Linked DNA regions of Stegostoma tigrinum. Each later gene encodes a partner of the first gene's protein in a complex. Links are inferred from orthologs where the notes say so. Each region holds a gene or a part of one and is shown in the gene's direction. Other genes may lie near its edges. The genes, in order: atf2, mapk8a and mapk10.

What was found.
Region 2: the proteins of atf2 (region 1) and mapk8a are in contact, whole or in part, in a crystal structure (PDB 6ZR5), measured with the Homo sapiens proteins. The link is inferred for Stegostoma tigrinum from reciprocal best matches to the Homo sapiens genes ATF2 and MAPK8. Residues at the interface, in NP_001243019.1 of Homo sapiens: Phe36, Val44, Lys48, Met51, Thr52, Leu53, Lys54, Phe55, Gly56, Pro57; in NP_001310257.1 of Homo sapiens: Asp112, Ala113, Gln117, Val118, Met121, Glu126, Arg127, Tyr130, Leu131, Tyr133, Val159, Lys160, Ser161, Asp162, Cys163, Val323, Trp324, Asp326, Ser328, Glu329.
Region 3: the proteins of atf2 (region 1) and mapk10 are in contact, whole or in part, in a crystal structure (PDB 4H36), measured with the Homo sapiens proteins. The link is inferred for Stegostoma tigrinum from reciprocal best matches to the Homo sapiens genes ATF2 and MAPK10. Residues at the interface, in NP_001243019.1 of Homo sapiens: Lys48, His49, Met51, Thr52, Leu53, Lys54, Phe55; in NP_620448.1 of Homo sapiens: Asp150, Ala151, Gln155, Met159, Glu164, Arg165, Tyr168, Val197, Lys198, Ser199, Asp200, Cys201, Trp362, Glu367.

What each region holds. Positions count from the first base shown.
Region 1 is NC_081360.1:47,011,880-47,015,631, forward strand, and holds the start of atf2 (cyclic AMP-dependent transcription factor ATF-2), read left to right. Parts: upstream 1-886; 5' UTR 887-958; intron 959-1,023; exon of another isoform or gene 1,024-1,371; intron 1,372-3,752. UniProt on the Homo sapiens protein: Transcriptional activator which regulates the transcription of various genes, including those involved in anti-apoptosis, cell growth, and DNA damage response.
Region 2 is NC_081390.1:9,555,519-9,559,270, forward strand, and holds the start of mapk8a (mitogen-activated protein kinase 8), read left to right. Parts: upstream 1-830; 5' UTR 831-943; intron 944-2,222; exon of another isoform or gene 2,223-2,295; intron 2,296-2,803; exon of another isoform or gene 2,804-2,955; intron 2,956-3,094; exon of another isoform or gene 3,095-3,263; intron 3,264-3,752. UniProt on the Homo sapiens protein: Serine/threonine-protein kinase involved in various processes such as cell proliferation, differentiation, migration, transformation and programmed cell death.
Region 3 is NC_081354.1:75,132,557-75,136,308, reverse strand, and holds the start of mapk10 (mitogen-activated protein kinase 10), read left to right. Parts: upstream 1-1,053; 5' UTR 1,054-1,337; coding exon 1,338-1,340; intron 1,341-1,487; exon of another isoform or gene 1,488-1,508; intron 1,509-3,752. UniProt on the Homo sapiens protein: Serine/threonine-protein kinase involved in various processes such as neuronal proliferation, differentiation, migration and programmed cell death.

The sequences.
Region 1 (3,752 bases):
CCCCACATTGTATACCATCTGCCAAGTCTTTGCCCACTCACTTAATCTGTCTATATCTTTCTGTAAACTTTGTGTCATCCTCACAACTTGCATTCTCACCTATTGTTCCATATTCCCCACCTGTGCCAAACAGCGTATTGTTTGCTAATTTGGGTAGCACGGTGGCTCAGTGGTTAGCACTACTGCCTCAAAACACCAGGAACCCAGGTTTGATTCCACCCTCAAGTGACTGTCTGTGTGGACTCCCCGTGTCTACGTGGGGTTCCTCTGGGTGCTTTGGTTTCCTCCCACATAACAAAGATGTGCAAGCTAGGTGAATTGGCTCAGCTAAATTGCCCATAGTGTTCAGGGATGTGCAGATTAGGTGGGTTATAGAGAGATGGGTCTGGGTGGGATGCTGTGAGGGTTGGTTGGGCCGAAGTGCCTATTTCCACACTATAAAGATTCTATGATCTTTGATGTCTGCTGGTGGAACACAGCTCATTTTTTCTTGCCATGTTGACAGACTACTTTTCTATGGTTCCATTTGGATATGTCAGAATTTCCAGTTAGGATGACTACACATGACAAATTGTCTGTCAGAGTAGCGTAGGTGCTGGTAGACCATTAAAACAGTTCTGGTAGTGAAAGGCAGGTAGGTGCTGTGTACTGTGATCACAGTTGTTCCTTATACCACACTATTTACCATGAATTGACCAAAATTGGTTCCCACCGGTCAGTATGAAATGGCACATAGTGGTTCGTTCTTCTCATGTTACCAATAACTAATCCCCGAGAGTCCTTCCATTGACCATCGACTAACCCACAACAGCTTCTTGCGTACTAATGGATGACCCTTCACCTGACACCACCACCCTGCATGTGTCATGTGACCAGGTGACGTAGGGCCGAGGGTTCCTGGGTTGAACTCTCGCGAGGTGTCAGCTCGCTTGTCCGTGAGCAAGAATCAGCCCTTGTGGTAAGTTTGTAAACAACGATAATCAGTAATCTAGACGGCTCCGGGCTTCTTGTCATGACGTTTGGAGCGGCGTTTATTTTCACAATGAGCTCTGATCATGGGGCTGGGGTGTGTGAGCGGCGAGCCGCTCCGGGGTGGGTCTGTTCACGAACGTTATTTGTTAATATGGCGACGCTCCCCGGCCGCTGGGGCTCTGATTCCTGAGGCTTCCTTCCAGTTGGAGGAGGTTTCCTCACAGTGCAGGTTACTCCTCTTCTCTGGAGCCACACAAATTCCCGAGTAACCGCTTGTGTTGAGTAAAGGGCGGGGTCTTTCTGGTCTTGAATCGTGGTGCTCTTCTAGACGTGGACACATCTGTATGAGACGAACGGTAGAAAATCCAACCAGTGTCTCGTTTCCTCGAAAGCAGACCGGTAGTATCCTTGTCATTGGTATTGCTGTATTGTAACCGAGTCAAATCGTACATTGGGAACGTTAATGCGATTCACACAGCAAGTTGAACCAAAATTTGTAGCATCTTGTTATTGATGATGTACCGTATGAAATCCTGCACCTCAAACCAAACGAATCGCGTTTAATCTTATAATTGGTTTCAGGTTCTGAAGGAATTAATTAAGAGTCAATAATGGCTACTTCCCAGCCGTGGAAAGTATAAATACTGCTTCTGTTTCCTTCAGTAATAAACAGTTTTAAAATCCGATAGGCAAGTATATTTGTTAATGGGAAACTCGGGTGTAGGCCAAAAGTCCATACTACCTATCGACACCACTAAGGTAAATCAAAATTAAGTGACGCCAAGCTTAGTTTTCAAAATCTTGTCGAAGGAATTAAAAAAAGAATTCCACAGTTTTGAAAACAAGCATTCATCAGAAGGAAAAATACTTTGTAGGGCATGTGTTTGATACTTAGGAAACAGGAAGCAAAGTTTGAAGCAACACTAGGGTGGAATCATAGCACAAAAAAGAAACACGCTTGAGAGTGAACGGGCCTCTTGTTGTTTTCAGCAATATTAGAAAGGTGGCGGAAGGAACTGTCTAAATTGACAGCAGAATTGAAGTCTTGATTTTATTGTGTCATTGAGGGGAAAGTAATAAATGTTTGAAACATGACAGTGTAGGTTCCTACATTAAATGATGTGGGATTGCTGTTTGAAGTCACAAGAACTGTGCAGTCCAATGTTAACCGTTGACAGACAAGGACAATGGATGAAAAATCAAAAACATGGTAGCAGTACAATATATACTTGCCAGAGATTGAGGAAATGGTATGTATTTTAAAAAACTGAAAAAATAAATTGGTTCAGTGATGCTGCTTCATAGCAAAATGATTTATCTGTTGGACTTTTGAAGGACTGGCATACATTGAACGTAGAATAGAATCATGAAAAGCATGAGTGGGGGTGAATGATCAGTGTAAGTCATTGATCTGAAGATGGAACCAGATGAGGCAAATAAGAGGACCCTGGGGATTTCTTGCTTTAAGGGAAAAGGAGTCTAAGGAAGATGAATCAACTACGGCACAGATGGTAATTGAGAACTGTAAATGTATTTTTAATGGGGCTTCCAAATAAGTTTAGAAGTACATGGTGCCAGATTTCAGCAAAGGTTATGTGTTGTCTGAGCAATAACCAATGATTCAGAAAAGGATTATTTCATGACTTTAAAAATGATTACACTTTTGAATACACAATTGTTAAATGCACCCAGTAAGCATACACTTGATATATATTGATTTAACTTGGGCTGTAGATACTTGTAATCAACCCATTTAGACAAGTTATGACACACTCTGGAGCAGTTGGGAGTTGAATCCAATCCTTCTGGCTCAGAGGTAAGAACACTATCACTACATCACAAGAGCTCCCCAATTCAGGCTGTAACCTTAGCAGTTAACAAATGCAGAGGTTTGTTTTAGAATCTGATGTAATAGCACAGGAGGGGGCCATTTGGTCCATTTTGTATGTGCCAGTCAACAAAGATCTGACTACACTAATCCCATATTTGTCCATGGCCCTAGAGGTTCTGACAGTGCAAATGAATATCTAAATACTGCTTAAATGTTAGAGTTTTTGATCTGACCACCCTCTCAGGCAGTTCGTTCCAGGAAATTTTCTCGTCAACTTAGCCGTCAACCTCTTACCTTAAATCTATGCCCCCTCGTTTTTGTTCTCTGTACTAATGGAAAGAAATACCTTCCTATCAATGTCCCTCGTGATCTTGAACACCTCTATCAGGTCACTTCTCAACCTTAACTGCTGGAAGGAAAATAATTCCAACTTGTCCAGTCTTTCCTCATATACACTCTTGCACCATCCTGCTAAGTATCCCCTGCATCCTCTCAAGCAGAACAACACCCTTCCTCTAATGTGTTGATCAGACATCATACAGTGCGTCAATTGTGGCTTAATCCTCATGTTATACAATTTGAGTATAACCTCACTGCTCTTGTACTCTGTGCCTTGGCTAATAAAAGCAAATATCTAATTTGACTTACTTATCTGCAGTACTACCTTCAGGAATATGCATGTCAAGTTCTCTTTGGTCTTCGTTACTTTCCTGGTTTCTACCACTCATAGCTGTCTTTTTAGGATGGTGGAGTTTGCACGTTCTCCCCAAGGCTGCATAGGCTTCTTCCCGGTGTGTTGGTTTCCTTGTGTAGCTTGAGCTGATTGGCCATGCTAAATTGCCCATAACATCAAGGGATGTGCAGGCTAGGTGGATGAGTCATGGGAAATGTAGGGTTATGGGGAAGGGGGAATGCGGCCTGGATGTTGGTGTGGACTTGATATACCAAA
Region 2 (3,752 bases), on another chromosome or scaffold:
AACAAAGAGCAACACAAACAGCAAACTTACCATAGGTTGGACTAACTATGTAACAAAGTCAAGCAGACCTATGCTGTTTGATGAGCGCTATTCAATTCACTATTTCTTTTCAGAGGTTGATTTTGTGCCTATTTGTCACAAATGTTCAACATTACTGTTGGATGATTAAATCCTTGTGTATGCTTTAACAATGACCTTGCACACTTCTCATGTAAGCAATGGATTCATGTTTTAAATGTAGTTCCTCGTGAATGTTCAAAATTTCCCACACCAATAACAAACCATGAAGGGGAAATGGTAAGTTCATGACAGAAATGAAATGTTGGCTGTGTCCATTGTTATTTTAAAAGAGCATTACCATTAAGATGGAATTGTAGATGGTGCTTTTATTCAAAGGCATTTTACCAGGTTGACAAAGTGGAAATTTCTCAGAGCTTGGCTGAGGACGGGAAGGGTATGATGTGGGGAGAGACTGACGGAATAATAGAAAGTGAGGATAAAAAAGGGAGAGAGACAGAGAGAAAAAGAGAATAATAAACAAAAAACGATAAATGCAAAATTGGAGAGACAGAATGGGAAAAGACAAGAGGGATAAAAACAGAAAGTGAAAACTGCGAAGGTGGAGAGACAGAATGGGAAAAGACAAGAGGGATAAAAACAGAAAGTGAAAACTGCGAAGGTGGAGGGACAGAATGGGAAAATAAAAGAGGAACATTATTGGCTGCTGGTCCCCCCCCCCAACCCCGGCGCCGGCTCTGATCAGGCTGGAATCGAGTGACAGTGCGCGTTCACTCGCTCTGCCGCTGGGCGACGGACACGCGCCTGACTACTGTCGGGGGCGCGCACGCTCGGTTGACGTAGTTTTATTTTGCGCAGTCGGTGAGCGGGGCCGCTGTCGGTGGATCTGTTGCTGGGTTTTTGTCTGTGTCCGGCGCCGGAACGGGTGAGGATATGGGGACAAACAGGGGGGTAGGGGATATGGGTAGGGGATAGGCGGTAGGCGGTATGCGGTATGGAGACAAACAGAGGTAGGAGGTAGGGGGTAGGGGGTAGGGGGTAGGGGGTAGGGGGTAAGAGACAAGGGACAAGGGACGAACAGTTGGGGAGGGGTTAGGGGACAAAAACTGGGGTAGGGTCAAACAGTGGGGTGGGGGGTAAGGGGCAGACAGTGGGGGAGGGGATATGGGGAAAACACTGGGGTAGGGGACAAACAGTGGAGGGGGGTTTGGGGAGGAGGACAAGCACTGGGGGAGGGTTTTGGGTCAATCACTGGGATTGGGGGTAGGGAACAGGGGGACAAACAGTGGGGTATGGGGACAGGTGTAGGGAACAGGGGGACAAACAGTGGGGTATGGGGACAGGTGTAGGGAACAGGGGGACAAACAGTGGGGTATGGGGACAGGTGTAGGGAACAGGGGGACAAACAGTGGGGTATGGGGACAGGTGTAGGGAACAGGGGGACAAACAGTGGGGTATGGGGACAGGTGTAGGGAACAGGGGGACAAACAGTGGGGTATGGGGACAGGTGTAGGGAACAGGGGGACAAACAGTGGGGTATGGGGACAGGTGTAGGGAACAGGGGGACAAACAGTGGGGTATGGGGACAGGTGTAGGGAACAGGGGGACAAACAGTGGGGTATGGGGACAGGTGTAGGGAACAGGGGGACAAACAGTGGGGTATGGGGACAGGTGTAGGGAACAGGGGGACAAACAGTGGGGTATGGGGACAGGTGTAGGGAACAGGGGGACAAACAGTGGGGTATGGGGACGGGGGACAAACAGTGGGGTATGGGGACGGGGGACAAACAGTGGGGTATGGGGACGGGGGACAAACACTGGGGTATGGGGACAGGTGTAGGGGACGGGGGACAAACACTGGGGTATGGGGAGGTTTTGAGGTCGCAACGGTGAGATGGAAGGGTTTAACGGTTAGAGGAGGTGAGGGACAGAAGGAGAGCGAAGCAGAGGTAGTTGGTGGGGCACAAGGTCTGGTGGTGAAAGACTGAGGGAGGTTGTGGGCAGCAAGGGGGGGGACTCTGTTTTACAGCTACAATTCGACGGCACCCTTGGTGGCGGGGGGGGGTGGTGTTGTGTGTTTTAAATACCCCCTTCCCTGGGCCTTGTGATTGTATGTTTAAACGCCCTGTCCTTGAGGCAGTGTAACTCCTTCCCCCACACAGCAGCTTATCTCCTGCTGCTTTGTCAGAAGTCTCCTATCCGGGTCTGCCAGGAGAGACACTGTCGATATTTCCCACTTAACATGCTGAGGGAGATGTAATGACACCTCTGGAGCAGGTGGGTTTTGAAAGGTAGGGACTTGGATGAAACCCATGTTTTAAGTCTGTCTCTACAGCTGGTTTATCCTGGAACAGGGCTCTGGCCTCTTCCCAGTGGGCTGTGGGCTCCACTCTGCAGTCAGTCTAACTAGGTGACTCCCAGCTTGACATTCCCCAAACCCTTTTTTCCCTGTTGATAGAATTCACAGTTTGATGTTTTGACCACATAAGCTGTCAAGTGGTACTCGATTTGGATCTTTTGACTCAGAGTCGAAGGGGTTCTCTGCCCAACACAACACTCTCCCTTAACCCTGTCCCACAGCGGTCATCTTTTTCTGTCTTGCTTAGCCCCTACTCTCCCCATATATTTCCTGTCACGTCTCTTCTTTCTCCCCCCCCCATGTGTCTCTGGTTTTGTCTTGTGTAAATACCACAGACATCCTCCCGCCACCAGCTGGGACTCCCCCCCCGGGACCTCCTGCACGTCCAGAGGACTCATTTAGTTTTGTCTGCTGGATCCCATCCCTCTGTGTTGGTTGCACCGTATATTTTACTCTGTGGACCGACTGTGAGAACTACCCTCAGTCCAACCAGCTTTCTACCTCAGGGCCAACAAGAGGCTCTTCAGGCACTCTCCAAGGACAAGAGCGGGAGTGATCATCCCCTTTTCATACAAATTGTGCGTAATTTTGTTTTTGCTTTTATTTCAATCCTGCTCCTACATGTGCAGGCCATTGCGAAATCCCGGATTTAATCAGTTGACTTGCAGTTTGGTGTTTGTTTGGGAGTTCTGTGCCTTTCTGTCTGTATTCTGACAGACTTTTCTCTGGTAATTGTGCCTCGCTGTATCTGCGGCGCTGGCTCTATCGGTTTGAGATTCTTTTGTTTGCTATGAAATACCCCATCACTTGCGATCTGAAGGGGAGGTGGGGAGATCGACACCCTCTTCGATTCAAACATGTTTTAGAAGTTTATTTCGGTGCCCAGGTAATTGTCATTCTCCGGTGTCGACCCAGTCTTCGGGAAATGTGGTATTGTAAACGCTTTGGAACTAGGGTCTGGCTGTATCCATAATTGCAGAGAAAATCGCCGGCGTTCTATTTATAGCATGCACTTATGTTCTTTAACACTTGGCGGATTTTATTTCAAATCCTTTCTTGGTCGACATGCAGATGCAAATTGTGTTATTGATAAAGGCTGACCTGCAAAATACACTTTAAATATCAGCGTAAAACACGTTTGAATGATCGTATTTGAGCCACGCGAGCCCCTCATTTCTCTTCACCCCCCCCCCCATCTCCTCCCCATTCCTTTGTTTGCGGGATTCAGTGTTTCACGCAATCACTAATACAAGAGACTTGCATCCTTGTTCAGGTTGTGTTGTTGGAGAAATGGTGAAAAGGTCGTGTTTTTCAGGGAGCTGAGCTTTCAGCTGCTGGTTCCTACGTTGAAAGGTTCTGTCTTTTAATTGAATTG
Region 3 (3,752 bases), on another chromosome or scaffold:
TCCAGCTTTCAAGCTATAATGGACTAGATCTCAACTGGATGGCTCAGCCTCACTCATAAATAAATGTGATTTTCCCTCTCAGGTAGCGGCTGATACCCATCCAGCTTACAAGCAACATTCTCAACATGCTTCTGGAACTTTGGAGACTCACAGTATTTCTACTTTTAGCACACAGCTTGCTGCCATTGCTTCCAAACTATATTCACCTGCACCTTGTTCCCAGTAAAATAAACTGTTTCTTTTAATCTTTAACAGTCAAACCACGTGCCAGGCTTGCTGTCAGGCACATTTTGGAACAGGTCACATGATCCCATTCATTTTTGCCTTAAAGGCACTGTCTCACGATATAATAATCTTATAAACTTCAGAGTGGTAACTATATACTAATCTGATTGGGTAACGAATATTCCAGTGATCCGTAAAATAATGAATTTTAATTTGGTAGAAACTAACAGCAACAATAATTGAATCGGCTGGTGTTCTCAAGGTAAACACAATACTAATGCAGTTATAAGACAGCGGGAGAATCCTCAAATAGTTAAAGTTGGTTGTGTGAGAATGAGAAAAATGTTTGTGGATGTGTATGTGCGTGTACAGGTAGGGAGAAGCCTCTTCCTCCTTGTTGTACAAGAATATTGTATAACGATTATGTTGAATTACACAAAATAATAACATTTTATTTTAATATATTAAAATTTTTGTACTGGTAATTGTACCTTTGTGCACTGTATGAATATTTATTGTGAACGAAAGTATTCTCCAACTGTACTTTGGTAACAAAATTATTATTCTGCGCATTTTCAAAACTAGTACAGTAGGCAACATTTGGCTGGAGATGCCTCAGTGCACTCTCTGTATTAATTGCTTGCTACGGCTATATAATTCGTGTGTTAAGTGCAGGTCTATGGGATAAACTGTTTTGTACTGGGTTCTAAATAAGTCATTACGGAAGCATATGGAGATACTGTCAGATTTAAAAGTCTCTCCCCCTACCCCAGACCTTCTGCGAGCTTTGACGTCATGTGTGCTCCTTTCAGTTGCCATAGAAACTTATTCCCCAGGCTCTCTGTCTGTCTCATCTGGTAGGTTCCACACTGGTACAGGCAGCATTGACTGCACAATGGTTTAACACGGGTGATGGCGGTGATTCAGCAATCTCTCCCTCCTCTCCAGCAGCTCTCTTCTCTCTCTCCTCCTCCTCCTTTCCAGGCATCCTCTCCGATCCATTGTGCATCTTTTGTGTTTCATTCTTCTTTTGCGAAAAGCAAAATGGTTTGAATCCGGATTGCAGTGGGGGGGACTGTTACCATACCAGGATTCTCTTCAGTTGGCACGGCATGGTAGGTGGTTGATACTGATGCAGTGTGCTAACCTGTTAAGGGTGGGGTGATGAATATTGATTTCAGCAAAGGTTAATGAAGTAGACCGCTAGAATTGCATGAGGAAAGCATCCCAGCAAGTGGCAGCTGGATGTAGCCTTTTTCCTCGTATTGATATGCATCCATCCGGTAACTTACTGTCATTAGAGAATGCAAAGTACATGAGTAAAATAATGCTTAAGGCTTGATGTAGTGCATGTAAATTACTGTTTAGTTAATGTTTGAAAGAGAAAACTTGAGGAATTTGATAAAAGTGAAATGAATATTTTGCAAATAGTCGGCAAGAAACATTTTACACCTTTCTAGCCTTATAGCTTGTCATATACATATACATGTAAACAACGAATTGTTTTAAAATGAATTTAGTGATGAATTAGCAAGTTTTGATATCAGTGAATCGGTTTCGGATCATTGGGGTTAATTGATTGTCTTTCAGCCTGTTCGAAGTGATAGAAATCTGGGGTCATGATTTCTGCTTTGATTCACGCATCTAATTAATCTTGTGAAGAGATTCAGCATCGGCTGAAAGAAGGATTGGAAGTGTTTTGTTCTGGCCATTCATCAGTATTGTCTGCTTGATAACATTACAAGGATCTGTAAAGGGTCACTGAACATTTATTTTTCTGACTCCGTTTGACAAAATGAGTATTCTGATCATTTTCTTGATCACATTATTTCACAATACTGTGTTACTTGCCAATTTCGCTTTAAAATTGTCTGTAAGGATAGAACGATAGAGAGGCACAAACTACCTGGGGTGCATTCTTGATTATTGCCGAGGAAGGCGTTTTATACAGTGAGGGTGTTGGTGACTTCTCTGTGTGAGAATCTCTGGAGAGAAAGGTATATGCAAATATTGCAAATGATTATGACCAAATATGGATATACACCTAGCTTGTTTAGCAAATGTGATGGCGTCTTTTTGCACAGATACAACATAAGTCTTTGTGCTCAGTTTTAAAATATAAGCTATGCAGTTCTTGCACATTTGATATTCAGAGCTGGAAATCTATTTCTCCTCTTTTCTTTAAATGAAATAATTGTGGTTAATTAGAGGAGTGGTCATGTCCTGGTATATACAAATGACGTAGAAAATACATTGAATGCCTCTGCTGTAACCTAAAGTTAAGAACACTGAGCCATTTTAGACGGCTTCGATATGATTTAATTTCTGCATATACATGGAAAGCATAGATTTTCATATTTACTTACAGGAGAACATTGTTGGTCTTCAGAAAAAAACAGTGCATGAGAATCAGAAAACAAAAACTTTAAAAATGTAAATCAGAAACATATTTGTTTATTTTAAGTGGATCTTGAATATTTTTCTGTCTTATTTTATGTAACAAATAATTAGATGCTATAGAGTTAATGGTGTAATTTGATGTAAGCATACTACTGCAGTGTATTTACCTTTAAATACTGCAGTCAAATTCAGAATCCTTGTCTTATAGCAATATTAAACAGTTCCTTAAACTTATTTTCATATTCATCCTATGGAGAATAGTGTGAATTTGGGGAAACAACTCAGTCACTGATTAATAGACCATAGCTTATGGCATTTTATTGACATTTTATGTCAATACTTTTTTCATACTAGCTGGCTGAATGATTTTCTAGGCTCCCAACTGATACAATGAGTTAAAGATAGGAAAGGGGGTGGATGACCATCTGACTTCATTATTTAAAATTGCCCCCTTGCATACGATTGGACTTGGAGCTTTGGTTTCAGCTCTATTGAATGGCCTGGAGTGGGCTTTTCATGGAATACCACCATTTAGACAAAGTTATATTTGGACAAGATTAATAAATAATATAGAAATTAAAAATTGCCAAAGAAAAATCAGTTTCACATGATCAATTTCTACAATCACATTGTCAGAGTATGATATCATTCTTAAAGAGAACTGTGACTGTAACGATTGTGATTTTGCCTGTTTCAGTTGTGCTGGAACAGATGTCACCTACTCTTCATTGTCATTACTGTATTTTAATAAAAGGTGACATTAATTTTTTTAACAATCTGTTCTGGCAGAAAAACAGCTTTCAAGAAATTTAGGTGCATTGCCTTTTTGAACATCTTCACATGTTTGAATAGATAGATGTTGAAACAAATATGAAGTTAGGAATCAGAAACGTTAATTATAAAGACCACAGTTTAGTTTTCTGCAAGAGGCACATTTTTGCCAATAGCTGAAGATGCCAGTGACAAGTTCTGTCAATTAATCAGAAATCAAGTCATGTAGCACCATATTTGGTACTAAATGCGCCTCCTTGCTACACACATTTCCAGATATGGGCAGATGGTAGGATGCCTACTCAGATAACTGGTTGGAAGGATAACATTCAACAGCCTGGAAACTGTAGAGGTAC